Pelodiscus sinensis: one gene and its partner. Each later gene encodes a partner of the first gene's protein in a complex. Links are inferred from orthologs where the notes say so. Each region holds a gene or a part of one and is shown in the gene's direction. Other genes may lie near its edges.

Region 1 (8,094 bases):
TGGAAAGCCAAAGGCGAGGGACTCTCCTGCTTCCATCCCTGGAGTGTTGTTGCCCCCATCTCATGCAGATGACTGCTTCAGCAGCGTGTGTCTGGGACTGCCATTGCCCCTTGTGAGGGAGCTGTGTTTTATTCTGGCAATTCACTGTGCCCCTCCCGCCCCCCTTTGGTTGGGGGACTGGATTGATAGATGCTGATTCATTAAAGATTTTAAACTTGATCAAAATCTCTCCCACCCTGTGTGCATCTAAGGCAGAGATTTATTTCAGCTCAATGCCTGTAGCTGGATCCAGCCGCAAATGTTCAGCAGTTGCCACTTGTTCTTGTGCTGCAGTAGAGGCCACTGTGGCCTCTCCCTCCCCATTTGCCTTCTATTGTTCTGTCCCCACCTCAGTCTCCCTCCTGTGCCTCTTTGCTTGGTGTCCTGCCCTTATTCTAACACTCTTCCCGCTTCCCATTGGCTGTTGCCCACCCCAAATCCTTTCCTCGTGCCCCTTTCTCTCCTGGGCCAGCGGTGGGGCTACCCTGTAGTCCGTGTTGGACAGCTTGGTTCGTTTGCCTCCTCCGCTCCCCCACTGCTGTAGGGCCAGCAAAGGATGGGAGGGAGATGCTTCTGCTGGACAACTACTCACCTTTGCATAGAGCCAGGCAGCTGTCCTCCTCCAAGTGCCTGTCAACCTTTTCTGCAAGTAGCCCTGCAATGAGCTTGTGCCTGAGGAGGGGAGAGGAGCCAGTTTCTCCCAGTTGAGCAATGAGCAGGCCTTGTTTTGGAGGCAGCTTTACTAATAAACTTTTTTTTCTGCATTGATGAGCATAGAGAAGGCTGCGAGGCCCCTCTCTTGCACAGCTGTAGTGAAGTCTCTCTCTCTCCTGCCTGGGTCTAGTGTCCAGGAGCCCTGTGCTTAATTCCTAGCTCTGCGACTGCCTAACTGTGCAGCTTTTGGTGAGTCCCTGCCCAAGTCTCCATCTAGTGGGAAGGACTGACCTGACAGTGGGTGATGAAATAAAATCCATCAATATCTAAAGTTTCTTCCTCCCCTTCCCCACATACTGAGCCTTAGACTAGGGGTTCCCAGCTGCCAGGCCATAGACCAAGGCTGCGCTGCTGGGCCACAGTGGCTGCCAGAGCTGAAGCCGGCTGTTTGTTGTGGCTCACCGCCGCACAGCAGCCAGCTTCAGCTCTGGCAGCTGATTTTGCCCAGCAGTGCTGAGGTGGCAGCAGGAAGAGGCAGAGTAGGAGCCGCCTCCCTCCCCTCTCTCTCATCCGAGTAAGGTGGTGGCCCAGCAGGGGCTCTGCTGTCTTCTCCCCCCCATCTGCCTCTACCCATGGTGGCACAACACGTGCTTGGGGAAGGAGGGGGTGCACTGCCAACAGCCGCTCCCTCTGCCCATGCAGCAGTAACAGCCATGCTTCCTGGAGGGGGCAGCCTCACTCTGGGGAGTGAGGGTGGGGCCAAAGGGGTATTGGGTGAGGGTGTGGTGGGGTCGTGGGGCAAGAGGTTGATGGCATGGGCTGTAGGAGTCGGAGGTTAAAGGGTGTTAGGCACTGAGGAGCAAGGGGCATGGTTGGGGCTGAGGGAGGTCAGGGGTTACAGGTCAGAGGGCAAGAGGGGGTAGGTTGCAATAGGTCAGTGGCTATGGAGCCAGGTGCAGTGCAGTTCATGCTCCTGTTTCAGGGGGCAGCAGATCTGAGGGAGTCTGAGCAGGGTTGGGGGCCTCCGAGCTTGTGCAACAGGCAGTTGCAGGGTCAGTGGGGCAGGATCAGGGTTTGGCAGAACGGGCGGTCGGGGTTTGTGGAGCGAGGGGCACCAGGGGTAGTGGGGGCAGGATCTGGGAGTGGAGGAAGGGTATGGGAGCCAGGGAAATGGGAGGTTGTCTGTTGGTCAGGGATTGCTGGGACACAGCGCACCAAGAATGGTAATGACGGCAGGACGGGCTCCAGGCAAGACAGAGCTGCTTGACCAAAGGAAGTTGGCAGCAGGGGTTTCTGGGAAGTGGGAGATGGTGGGCACTGGGGTGACAGGTTTGGCAAGGCAGACTTGTGAGGTAATGGGGTTACCGTTAGTGGGATATAAGGGATATCAGATGATGGGTTTGGCAGGTTTAATGATAGAGTCACAGAATACCAGGCTTGGCTGGATGGGGTCAGAGGGTTCTGGGATTGGAGGCAGAGGGATGTGCAGTGACAAAACCGGGTGAGTGGGTTGGTGGACAAGAAAGTCTCGGCTTGACAAAGCCCTGGCTAAGTTGATTTAGTTGTGATTGGTCCTGCCTTGGGCAGGGAGCTGAACTTGATGACCTCTAAGTAACATTATTTGCATATTCATTATCTGCATAATGAATATGCAAATAACATGTTACCAGTCCACCAAAAGTTTGTGAATGGGTTTGCTGGTTCGTGATATAAAAAATGTTGGGAAGCACTGCCTTAGACAAACCAGTTTTCCATGTTGGATCATCCTGTGAGTGCCCTAAGCGGGGGGGCCCTCTGGGACCTTCCTCTGAGACCTGACCCATTCCCCAGCATAATACACCCCTCAGCACTGGTAATTTGGTCGAGTCCCTGCTGGAACTTCTTCTCTGCAGGCCTTCCTGCCGTAGGTCCCTAGCTGCAGTCAGGCCCACATGGTGCAAGGGCGGGGTTCTGCTCAAGCCTTGGCTTGCTTGTTTGGTTCCTGATCCTCTTTTTACATCATACAGACTTGCCCTTGTGAATTCAGTACCACGGCATTAAAGAATTCAGCTTAAATGTCTAAGTGCTGCTTTATGCTATAAAGTCAAGTTGGTCTATCTATTAGGGATGATATTCGTTTCGCTGGCTTCCTAAGCTGCAGCCCTTTTCAGCCTCCTGGCACTGACCTTCGCTCTTACAGGCTAGCCCCTCTCCTGGTTTCCTGAGAAATTCCCCTTTATCCAAGAGGGACTGTAGAGACTGATAAACTCTTCCAGCCCTACTTCACCAGGTCTCCCACCTTGTAGGTTTTCCCTGGTCCTTCATAGTCCACAGCTGCTACCCTGCTCTCTTAATTGTACTTGTTCTGCCTGGCATGAGGGTGTGGATTTGTGTCATTTTCAGGGGCCAGCTGCGACCGTACAGGGATGCATGTGATTTCCTTGGCTAAGACTTCACCACAGCGGATGTTGCGAGATACCTTCTGTTCTGTGGTAATAATGCTAAAGATGTCAAAGCTTGAGACTGCAAAAAAAAAAAAATTTTGTAGCAAACTGACAAATTAATGAGCAAGTAGTCAACAGAAGCAGCTGATAAAAGAATATTTTTAAGGCTGCAGAGCCAAGAATACATGTTAGAAAGTGCCATATTTAAGACTGTCTGTATGACTTTAACCCTGCTCTTTAAGCACATGCATTATGGTACAGTCTTGTAATTATGTGATCACATACTATTATGTGGATTCACTGCCTTATTTAGTGTATATGATGGACCTGTTCCATGAGACAAGTATCCAAGTAAGTCTGTATCTGCAAAAACAATGAGTCCTGTAGCAGACTAACAGATTTATTTGGGCATATGCTTTTGTGGGCAAAGACCCACTGTGTCAGATGCATCTGCTGAATAACTTGTTTCTGTTCTGTGTGGTGAAGGAGACTGTCTGCAGAACCCCATTTCATTTGTTTCAGAAAATAGGTGTGACACAAAGGTGAAGGACTGCAAGAAGAGAGAGGTTGGTCTCATGGTAACTTAAGGCAGCTGAACACTACCTTGGGGAGTTCTAGTCTAGCTTCTGTGTGCTACTGAGTAAGTCATAGTAATCAGACTTTTCCCAGGTGGTTGCTAATTGTGTGCTCCTCATGTCCTGGGACTCATTTGCAGAAGTGCCCGACTTTTAAGTACTCTGAAAAATCAGTCCCTAAGTATCTCAAATCTGGCACTTAAAATTCTGTGTCTTAGTCCCCTATCTGCAAACCCCTTCATCCGACAGGGCCTTGTAAAGATAAAGTTGGTGAATCATTTAGATACTGTAGTGATAAGTGCTGCAAAAAAAACTATGAGGAAATAAATAATTTTTGCCCTAAGAAAAGGGTTTGAACAGCATGTAATCAGGATCTAACCAGTAAGCATCACCCTTACCAGTAACTGAGGGGCTGCTTCAGCACAGCCAAGTCCCCTGTGCCACAAGCTGGGGGTGCTCTATTCTGGCTGAGCCGGGGTAGGGTGCAGTGGGTCCCAACTGGCTGGAACAGCTCCCCACCAGTGGGATCCTGATTAACCATTTAACTGATTGAGTGGGATTTTACATCCCTAGCATGTAGTGAATGAGGCCTGTGTCTGTATAATGACATGGAGTAAATCTATTATCTGGCTCATTTAATGAACACAGTCCAAGTGGTGCACTGTGTGAGATGGGGTCCTTTGGGGGGGGGGGATAGCCTGTGATCATGTCATTAGTGACTGAAGCCCTAGTTTGCAACTGGGGAAACTGAGGCATGGATTAAGTGACTTTCCAAAGGTCACCCAGCCAGCCAGTGTCAAAGCTGGACACAGCCACCCTGTTCCTCTGATCCTGGAATATAAGCTAGGCTAGATCTGCCCGAGCCCTGAGGGGCTGAAGAGCCCCTGTGCAAGGAAGAGGACAGGCCTGTCTCGAGCAGGGCACTGTGCATGAAGCACCCCAAGGAGAAGAGGTCCATCTCCCCACTCTGCTGCCCGGTTTTGCGCTCCCCTCCCAGTGCTGGCCTTACCGTGAGGCAAACTGAGGGGGCGGCCTCAGGTGCCAGACTGTGGGGGGTGGGGGAAGCCACTAGGACCCAGAGTGTAGAAAATTGTGTCTGCTGATGGTGCAGACGTAGGTAGCAGAGCAGCCCCATGTGAGGAGTAGAACAGGCAGCACTGAGACCTTTCAAAGTGTTGGCCCAAGCGAGGGGGCATCATGGGGCGTCATTTGAGCTCCCTGCCTCACGTGCCAAAATGTTGTGGCCCTCCCCTCTCCTCGCCTCCCCTCCCGTCTCCGACTTCCACGTACGGTGCCAGCCCGGCCCGCAGCGCCGCTGCTGCTGCTGCAGTCCCGCTCCCCGCCCCTCCGCAGCGCAGCCCGCCCCCCGCTCCCTGCGCAGCCCCCTCCCTGCGCTCGCCTGGCCGCGGCAGCCCTGATTGGCCCCCGGCCCCTCTCTCCGGCCGGGCTCGCCGCCGCCATGAACCCGCTGTTCGGCCCCAACCTCTTCCTGCTGCAGCAGGAGCAGCAGGGCCTGGCCGAGCCGGAGCCGCCGCCCCTGGGGGACTTCTTCGGCGGCGAGCTGGGCCCCGCTCCCGCGGCGCCCCCGTTCGCGGCGCCCCCCGCCGCCATGGCCCTGCGCAACGACCTGGGCTCCAACATCAGCGTGCTGAAGACCCTCAACCTGCGCTTCCGCTGCTTCCTGGCCAAGGTGCACGAGCTGGAGCGCAGGAACCGGCAGCTGGAGAAGCAGCTGCAGCAGGCGCTGGAGGAGGGGGGCGGCCGCTCGCGGGGCGTCCCGCGCCGGGACCAGGCTGTGCAGACCAGCGTCGTCAGCCCCATCCGCCCGCTGGGCCTGGCCCTGGGCAGCGCCCGGCCGGCCGGGCTCAGCGCCCCCTCCAGGGGGGTGGGCTCCCCCAGCTGCCACCCCGGGCTGCCCTTCGCCCCTTCGTCCCAGCCCGCCGCCGCCGGCCCCTTCTCAGCCTCCTCCCGCTTCATGCCCGGCACCATCTGGTCCTTCTCGCAAGCCCGGCGGCTGGGCCCGGGGCCCGAGACCACCCTGGTGCAGGGGCCCGGGCTCTCGTGGGTTCACCCCGACGGGGTAGGCGTCCAGATCGACACCATCACCCCGGAGATCCGGGCCCTCTACAATGTGCTGGCCAAGGTGAAGCGGGAGCGCGACGAGTACAAACGCAGGTGAGAGGCGCAGGGAGAGTCCCGGGCAAGGGCGGGGGCAGGTCGGGACACCTGGGAGCCAGGGATGCGCGGGGAGATCGCGCAGAGGCAAGGTTGCCGCTGACGGGGAGACTTGCAGGGCAGTGCCCAGAGGCGGTGGGCAAGGGACTCCTGGCACAGGTGGGAGAGTCTGGGCAGTGAGGTGGCAAAGGGAGAAGGGGGGTGTAGATTGCACACTCAAGCCCCCAGAGTCACGAATCCGGTCCCCACATTCATGAGATCAAGAAATAGATCATGAAAACTTGAAAAATGATCAAAGCTGGGCTCCTTTTGTTTAGCTCCATGGTGCATTTAGGCCACATTCTCCAGCTTTTAACTCCAGCGATGAGGGGCTGAAACTTTTTGTTGCTTTAATGGAAGCTTCTGAATGACTCCAGGAGCTGGGGCTTTAAGAAAAAAAACAGAGTTAGCAACTGTGTGAGAGATGATACCGCAGGTAAGGAGATTGGGCTTGCAAGGGCAATGGGGAGCAGGGAGATGGGCTGAGGAGGAGTCAGAGAGGAGAGGCAGTTTAAAGGTGACGACAAAGAGCCCAAGACCATGGCAATTCAGTGTCAAAGACAAGGGACCACACGTGACAAACTGTCCACTTTACCCCATTTCTCCCTATCCTTTCTCCCCAAACCTCATATCAGAACATAGTCCTGTAGCATATCTAGTCCGTGATCTAGCACCAGCTGTCTCTGAGGCAGGTGCAGGAAACCCTGCAGAAGGCAGTGATGGGATAACCTGTCCCAGGGAAACATTCCTCCTGCCCCCCTAGAGCGAGTGGTTGGCTTGTGCACAGAGTTCTCGGGGAGCCTTTTAATATTATTGGGAAGTCCTTACTTTACAAAGTGGCAACGACATTTCTATTTAAAACCAAGTTTTAAACTGCTCTAAAATCTACCTCTTTAATAAGATCAGCCTGAAAACAAGCTGGTTTTAGTTCAGGGCATAGGAGAATTGGATGCAAACTTGGAGTAACTTGGCTAAAGGACTAGGGATGTGAAGGACTAGTCAATTATCCGATAAGCCAATGCTTATTGGATTGTCGACAGGCTAGTCGACTAGTCACTCCCCCCCCCCTTTGCTGCCTCTATCAGAAAGAGGCAGCAATGGGGGGAGAAGAGAGGGTACTTCAAAGTGGCAGTGCTGCTTGAAGCCTGGGGCCAGACCCCAGGCTCCATGCAGCGCTGCCGCTTTGAAGCACCACATGCAGCCAGGGGCCAGCTGGGGTGGCCCCAGGCTGCATGCAGCATTTCAAAGCGGCAGCGCCACATGAAGCCCAGGATTAGCTGGGGATTTCCCCACTGACTCCGGGCTCTGTGTGGTGCTGCCACTTTGAAACGCCACAGGGAGCCCAGCGTCGGGCTCCTCACGGTGTTTCAAAGAGCAGCGTTGCACAGAGTTTGTGATCAGTGAGGGAGTCCCCAGCTGACCCTGGGCTCCATGCAGCGCTTTTACCTTTGAAGTGTAACAACAGCTCTAGCGCTGTTGCTACACTCAAAGGCTGAGGTGCCCTATTGACTAATCGAATGGTCCATGCAAAATTCATGGACTATTTGATTAGTCAATTAGTCTATACTTAATATCCTTTAAAAGGACTGTAGGAATATTAATCTCTTCCCCTCCTCCCCCACAGCCAAATGACTTGTGAATTAAAAAAAAAAAAAAAAAAAAAAAAGCTCTTGCTTGTGATGCTTTTGGGGCATTCTTTAATCAATTGAAAAAATGATGGGCAGTATCCACATAAACATATTGCTCTGAACTGCCCCTGTTAACCACTAGTTGTCAGTTGCCAAGAGCCAAATAGTTAGGCTTTCTTTTTAACTCTGTGGAGCAGGAAACTGAAGTGCTGTGAGCTGTGTGTGGAACAGGAGAGGGAGGAGACTGATACTCAGGGGAAGGAGCACCAGACTAGGAAACAGATGCTCAGGAGTATGTCTCCTCTTCTGTGGCCTGCTACTGTCAGTGCATTTCATACATAGTATCGTTAAGCAGCACAGGCTTAGAGCCTTTCCTAGGGGCCGGCAGCCCCTTGTTGGAGAGCAGGTAACAGGGAGGCTGCCCAGTGTCATTGCGATCAGAGCTAGTAGAACCCAGGTCTCTAATATAGTAAGCTCAAGTATCAGCCACTCATCCCTTTGAAAAGGGTATGCCCCTCCTAGGGCTGCAGTCGCACAGGCTGGAATGTCCGTGTGAGAGCT
Region 2 (7,243 bases), on another chromosome or scaffold:
GGTCTGCTGGGGTGGACGCAGCTAGTGCCCCCCTCAGCAGACCAGGGAGATGTGGAGCAAAGCCCGGGGCCTGTGGTAGAGCAGGTGGGGCGCTGCCGGTTGGTCCCACAGCACCGCTCCTTGGCGCTACTGGACCAACCTGGCAGCACCCCAGCTACTCTGCCCCAGGAGTCCTGATTCAGCCGCTGCTGATCAGTTTCAGCAGTGGCTGAATCAGGACACCTGGGGCAGAGCAGCTGGGGTGCTGCTGGGTTGCTCCAGTAGCGCCAAGGAGCAGCCGCACTACTGGACCAACCCAGCAGCACCTGAGCTGCTCTGCCCCAGGCGTCCCCAAATTAGCCGCTGCTGAAACTGACCAGCGGCTGACTACAGGAAGCCCGAGGCAGAATTGCTCCGCCCCGGGCTTCCTGGAATCAGCTGCTGATCAGTTTCAGCAGCAGCTGACTTGGGGACGCCTGGGGTTCTTAAGTTGAATCTGTATGTAAGTCAGAACTGGTGTCCAGATTCAGCGGCTGAATCTGGATGCCAGTTCCGACTTACATACAGATTCAACTTAAGAACAAACCTACAGTCCCTATCTTGTACGTAACCCGGGGACTGCCTGTACACGTTTAATCAAGAAGGGGAGCCACTTTGCAGAGCTGCAACGTGGGTGGCTCCCAGACCCAGTGCAAGCTGGAACTGAGCAGTCCCAGCTCGCGCTGGCTCTGGGACTGCTGCACCTCTGCATTTTAAATGTAGTAAGAGTCCAGCAGCTCTTACTACATTTAAAGTGCAGAGGCACAGTAGTCCCAAACTGGTGCAAGCTAGGACTGCTTGGTCTCAGCTTGCACGGGGTCCAGCAGCCCGTTTGCGGTAGTCCAGACTGGCCATGGACAGGAGCTGCTGCCAGAGCAGCCGGGGCCACTGTGGGCAGAGGCTACTTCGTGGTAGCCTCCCCTATTGCCCCCTCCACCACCCTGCCTCTGATAGAGGCAGGGGCAGGCGACACTGCAGAGACAGTTCTGGGGGGAACTAGCTCCCCACAGCCCCCATTTCCCCCAGCCTTGCTGCCTCTTATACAGAGGCAGCAAGGTGAGACAGCAAGGGCGGAGGGAAGCGAGTAGTCAACTACCCAACTTGACTACTCACTTATATCCCTATCACAAAACAGATTCAACAGCTGGTTAGGGAGTTCCCTCCAATAAGGGAACACCTATACACAGCTGGGGATCTGGCCAGACTGCGCTGTACTTTGATAATTCTTGGACTAGCCCTGTGTAAGCACCATGTGTAATTTAAAGCAGGCTCGAGGATCCTCTAAAACAGGCTGAGGGCCAGAAGGGCAACTAGCAGCCCTGGGGATCAGGGGAACACAAAGGTGGCTCAAAGTATTTGCATTACCCTGATCCCAAAAGCACCAAGGATCAGTCTGCCATAGCTGGGAAACTGAAGCCTGATGTTATTCTGATATCTCACTGATTACACTATATCCAAATGTAGAGGTTTCCAGTTCACAAGGTTTTTATTATTAACAATATATGGTTGCAACATAGAAGTACCAGGTGGGTAAAATACTCCAGCCCCCACCAATTACCAGTTAACTGAAGCCTTTCCTGTTAAGAGTGACGGTTACCAGTTAATCTTTCACATCCTTAGTTTGAGGCCCAAGATTCCCACAACAGCAACCTAAGTCAACAGACTATCCATGCCTACATTCACCACTGCAGTCAATAACCACGATCAATCACATTAACTGGCTGCTTCAGTTAAAACATTAAATAATTAAGATTGGCATTTAAAAGGCAATTATTTGACTGTAAAGTCATATTATCATATTGAGATGGATAGGAGAGTTCATAATTCACACAACTGCTGTTTTAAGCTATCTGCAGTTTCAGTAAGACAACAATTAAGTTTACCCTCAAATCATATCTGGAATGTTTTTGCCTCTCACAATCAGAAAAGTTAAAAACTTAATTACTGGCTGTTACTGACAGCTTAGTTTCTAGCTGTACAGTTTTGCAGCAAAATTTGATAGAATTGTACAATTTAAGTGATTGTGACTCGGAATGATGAGAGGCAGGTATTTAATCGAAGAGCAAATATAATTTTTACTTACTACTCAATTAGGCGATAGGCAGCCCAGCTCAATCCCAGCTCGCACTGGGTGAAGGACCAAACCTAACTTTGGCTCTGCAACTTAAAAGACAATAGGAGCTAGGGGGCTTCGGCAAGTAAATACACTCCTGAACCCTTAATGTATATATCATATACAGCTCTCTACACACATAAGCAGTAGGGAAAGGCTGCACAGGGCAAAAGCTCCAGGACCTTCACGATTTGGAAATCTTTTACTGCAACAGTGAAATACTCCCAACATTTGGGAGACAATGCTTGTCACACTAATGTTAAATATGGCCCACCTCAGGCCACTGAGGACAGAGACTGCTCTGGCACCAGCTGGCTGTGGACGGGGGATGCTGCTTGAGCAGACCCTGCCCGCTGCTAGCCCTGGCCGCCATGAACAGGGGTTGCTTGGCGGCAACAGCCCCTGTCGGGGGGGGGGGGGGGGAGGAAGGAGTCCAGCACTTCACAGCAGCATCCCTTAACCCCCTGCTGCCTCAGAGAGAGGCAGCAGAGGCAGGCTGCACCCAGGAGATGGTACTTCACTGGTTCCCCTCAGCACTGGCTCCTGCTTCCCACCCTTGCTGCCTCTTTCTGAAAAAGGCAGCAGGGGGAGGTAGGGAGCAACTAGTTGACTAGTCAGTTGCATCCCTTCTTTGCTCTATGCAGAACATGTTCTTACTTGGACTTCTGCTTTTACAGAAAAAATAATCATCTCTAGATTCCAGTTTTCTCTCTCATTTTGCACTTAAGAGCCAAATTTAATAAATTAAATGACCCTTTGATCAACATGGTTAGTTATATTTTAGGGCAGAGTTTTCAATTTTTTCCCCTTCTATTATCCTACATTCTCAAATCCATTAAAGCAACATTAGAAAAGTCAGAAAGGTACAAAAGAGCTATAGCTCTCCCAGGCTGCTGCTGAAAAGGGAAAACTTCACTTATGCTCATCCTCCAAAGTGTCAGTGTATTTTCAGAGACCATTCAACAAGTCAGGCAACAACTGCTTTGGTCTGACACACCCTGTGCCTACAAGGCACAGCCATCATAAAGATCTTGCAAAGAATGCTTACACAAGCAACTATAGACTGAACCTCTCTATTCTGGCAGCCCGCAACCTAACTAGAGCCAAACCAGAGAATTTGCAGAGCCACAGGAGGTAAATATTGTGTAGCAGCATTACCAACACTTCCACTGCTTACTGGGCTCTTAGGGTATGTTTACACTGCATTCCTCTGTCCAGAGAGGAATGCAAATGCAGCTGAGCAAAATTGCAAATGAAGCATGGATTTGAATTTCCCATGCTTCATTTGCATAATCGCATCAGGCTGCTTTTTTGAAATAGCTTTTTTTTAAAATAAGGTGTCTAGATGTGATTATTTCAAAAGGAAACCCTTCTTTCGAAATTACCATTAAACCGCCTTTTAAGGAATATATATTATGCATTGTTCTCTTAAAACCCACATTATTTTCAAGAAAAAGCAACTACTCGTGTGTTATCAAGAATCTAACAGAAAATATCGTTTAAGCACATTTATCCCTTTAAAAAAGAAAGGGCGGCAAGATCTACCTGCTGCAGACTAGCGAGTATAACCGAATACTCAGCTACACATCACGTGCTCGCGAGAGTTCTCCCGCCCTTCACCTATTTGGGTCGCTGAATGACGTCACAGGCGCGATGGCGTCACTCAGCAAGCCAGGCATTGGTGACCGAAATGAAGCATAATGGGGGGGGGGGGGAGGGCAACCACGAGACTGAGTCTCCAGCGTGGTTACTGGAACAGGGGGGCCAGGAGCGCGGGGGCCTCTGAGCAAGCGCCACAAACCAGCCGCGAGCTCCTGGGGTCGGAGCCCCTCACAGATCAGGGAAAAGGAGGGGGAAGGGGAAGGGGCTCAGCGCCGCACAACCGGCACCTTCGCGCTTACCATAGCTCCCCGCTTCTAGACACATCACACTTCCGGGAACGAGGGGGGCAGAACCGGAAGAGGCGTTACCTAATTTTCTTCTGGTTGGTCGGGGAAGTGCCGGCTCGTGACTGACAGGCGTCAGCGGAGCCTCTGCGAGTGCTGATTGGGGGCGGCGGCCAGAGGGCTGGGGGGGTGCATAACTGTACCGGCGCGCGGCAGCTGGCGGCTTTGATTGGCTGCAGCAACTCACACTCCCCCGCCCCCACCGCGGGAAGGCGGAAACGGGATCGCACAGTGGGAGCGAGGTACAGGGGGGCTGTCGGGCGCTCCCACAAGGCGCGGGCCTCCTCTTGCCTGTGCCCTGGCAGCAGACTCCCTGCGTCCGCGCTGCCGCCTTGCTGGGGCGGGCGGGGTCGTGTAACTGAGGCGGGAAAGGGGCAGGAGCCTGCCAAGGGCTGTCGGGTGGGGCGGTGGCCTCCTTCCCCTCCACCAGAGATAGGGGCGGGGAAATTTCCGTTGGTGGGAGCAGAAACGGAGGGGAACGTCCGAGGCCTCGCCCTTCTCGCCCCGTCTCCGCGGGTATAGGAGCAGTAGCATGGGGGCAATCCCAGAAGCAGTGCTTGGGTCGCGGGGCAGCGGCTGGGTCTCTCTGCTTCCCTTCCCCGCCTCCCCTTCCTCCGTACACTGACCTCTAGCAGGCGCCTGTGTAATTTTTCAAGCCCTTCTGGACTTGTCTATACTGGGAACTTGCATGGGCATCCTTCAGTGCTGTGAAATATCCACATCCTTCAATAACGTTGCCAGGCCAACCTGATCCGTGGTGTACACAGTGCGAGGTTGATGAAATAATTACTTTGCCAGTCTGGAAGGTGGCTTTACTACTACAGCAATGGGAGAACTGTCAACATAAATAATGTCTACATAGACTGAAACTACGACTATAAAGGCAATGCAATTTTTAGAAGCTGCTGTATTAGGTTTCTAAATTCTGTGTTAGCTCTCCACCCTGCACTCCCCCCCTCCCCCCCAACAGGGCATAGCTAGTTGGTTGGTAGTCTTGCTTACTTCATTGGGTCATATGCCTACTTTTACATTGACCCTATGAGTACGCTTTGTATATATGAATGAAACTTGGCCTCCTTTTGCCCTCTTAGGATAAAAAGTGCTGGATGAAAAATGAATCTCCCCTTTTGATTGTCACTGAGTACCTGTAAATGAAGAATTCTTGCTGTTGATTTCTGGGCATGTTGTTTTTAAAGTTGGCAAACAAAGATTCATATGCTTCAGAGGGGTAGCTGTGTTAGTCTGTAAGAGGAAAAATGTAAACAACAAATAGTCTGGTAGCACTTTAAAGACTAACAAAACATTTAGATGGTATCAGATTCATCTGTACAGATAGATGCAGGTCTTTACTGGCAAACAGTATTCCATTTCATTTAACTTCTGTAAACTACCCTTTTTATGGAATATTTGTCATCTGTAGAAATATCTCACCACCTCCCATTCACTTAATAAATATATTTTTGTCTTACATGTAAGGGCCTATCATTGCTCATCTTGTCACTTCCCTTCTAAGTGACCAAACTATGGATATGAAATATAAAAACTGTAATTGGATATTGTGATTAAAACCCCACCTGTCTAGTTGAAATGACAGTGGTAGCTCTAATACATTTTTGTGAGCATTTCTGTTTTAAAGGGCACATCTGATTTTTCCCTTGACTTGTTCTGTAACTCATGATAGAACGGCTTGTTATCCTATAGCAGTCAAGGTAATCTTTAAAGAGTTAGTTTATCCCATTTTGGCACCATGCCATGATACTTAAAACATTTTCCAGTGTTTGGTTACTCCTTGTTGTGTAAAGTGCGTAAAGTTTAATCATTTCATTCTAAGCATCTATTAGAAATGTGGAACTGCAGTGATGCGGTAATATCTTATTTAGTGAAGTATGATGAATCAAATAAAAAAAACATTGTTTTAAATGAAGCACCCCATTTCAAAAAAAGAACATCTTAACAATTGGTTTGGTTTTGCAGGTAAATTCAGAATGATCCTCACTGTTTACTCCTGGAAGCATATAAGACAACAGAGTAGACTTAAAAAGAAGCAGATTCATCTATCAGTCTCCTCAGCTTAGATTTTATTGCAGCTCCTGTGTGCTAATTCACTTCATTATCCTCCTTTCCTTTATGGAAATGCTACCTTGGTGGGAGCTTTAAATTTATGTGACAGACTTGGTGTGGCTAAGTTGGAAATGCTTGAATAAAGGTAATACTTATGTGTCAGAGCTATAACCCCTTTTCTCATACTTAGCTACTAAAAGGCACAAATTAATTGAAACCTTTGTAGTTTTTTAATTGTCCAGTGTGGTGATTTAGGTTATTGGCTCACTGAAGTCATTACATGCATCAGGGGGCCTGTTAGAGCTATGAAATCCATAGTGATGCTTTCATCTGACAGCTGATTTTGAAGGAGGTCTATATCTCTACCTCCATAGTCTTTGCAGTAGATAGGATTTAATTTGTGGGATCACTGTGGTGAAATAGATGTAGCCTTGTTATTTTGTGAGCAGTTAGCTTTGATCTTCTGAGAAATTTCAGTAAGACAACACTATATGTGAGAATGTAAAATTTCAGTGGAAGAGTGTGACTATTATTTTTGTGCTAAGGACTAGAGATGTAAGAGATTAGTCAACTATCCAATAATCAGAAGCTTAGCGGATAGTTGACTAGTCATGCGACTAGTCGCTTCTCCCCCTCCTCCCCCCTCGCTGCCTCTATCAGATAGAGGCAGCAAGAGGGAGAGGAGCAGGAGCTGGTGCTAGGGAGAGCCGGCTTAAAAGCTGGTTCCCCCTAGCACCGTCTCTGTGGTGGGCAGGGGAGATAGCGGCACAACAGGAAATGCCACGAGCGGGGACTGAAGCAGTCTCTGCTTGCCGCACTTCTGCTGCTATTCTACTTTTGAAATTTCAAAAGCAGAAGCCCCGCAGAGAGCATGGGGCTTCTGCTTTTGAACTGTAGCAAGAGCCTGATAGGGCTCTTGCTTCAGTGCAAAGGCACCCTTATAGACTAATTGAATAGTCAGTGGAAATCCCATCAATTGTTCAGTTTAGTTAATTAATCTAAATTTAACATCCCTGCTAAGGACTGTCACCACTGATCTGTTTTCTGAAAGGTTACTGAATAGCTGAATGTCATTTTCCCATTTCCAAGTTTGATGGTGTTTAAC

The links.
Region 2: the proteins of IFFO1 (region 1) and XRCC4 are in contact, whole or in part, in a crystal structure (PDB 6ABO), measured with the Homo sapiens proteins. The link is inferred for Pelodiscus sinensis from reciprocal best matches to the Homo sapiens genes IFFO1 and XRCC4. Residues at the interface, in NP_001317253.1 of Homo sapiens: Arg469, Glu470, Tyr473, Ile477, Gln479, Ile480, Glu481, Glu483, Leu484, Ala487, Lys488, Asp490, Met491, Arg493, His494, Leu495, Tyr498, Met501, Lys505, Leu508, Asp509, Met512, Cys515, Arg516, Leu518, Ile519, Thr520, Gln521; in NP_001304941.1 of Homo sapiens: Trp155, Val158, Gln159, Phe162, Glu163, Cys165, Val166, Lys169, Glu170, Glu173, Leu176, Tyr177, Phe180, Val183, Leu184, Lys187, Lys188, Lys190, Ile191, Leu194, His195, Lys197, Leu198, Ala201, Ala202, Arg205, Glu212.

What each region holds. Positions count from the first base shown.
Region 1 is NC_134711.1:138,774,628-138,782,721, forward strand, and holds the start of IFFO1 (non-homologous end joining factor IFFO1), read left to right. Parts: upstream 1-5,045; 5' UTR 5,046-5,150; coding exon 5,151-5,866; intron 5,867-8,094. UniProt on the Homo sapiens protein: Nuclear matrix protein involved in the immobilization of broken DNA ends and the suppression of chromosome translocation during DNA double-strand breaks (DSBs).
Region 2 is NC_134716.1:79,416,333-79,423,575, reverse strand, and holds the start of XRCC4 (DNA repair protein XRCC4), read left to right. Parts: upstream 1-4,172; 5' UTR 4,173-4,319; intron 4,320-7,243. Other genes in the region: TMEM167A (protein kish-A), read right to left, coding at 4,033-4,035.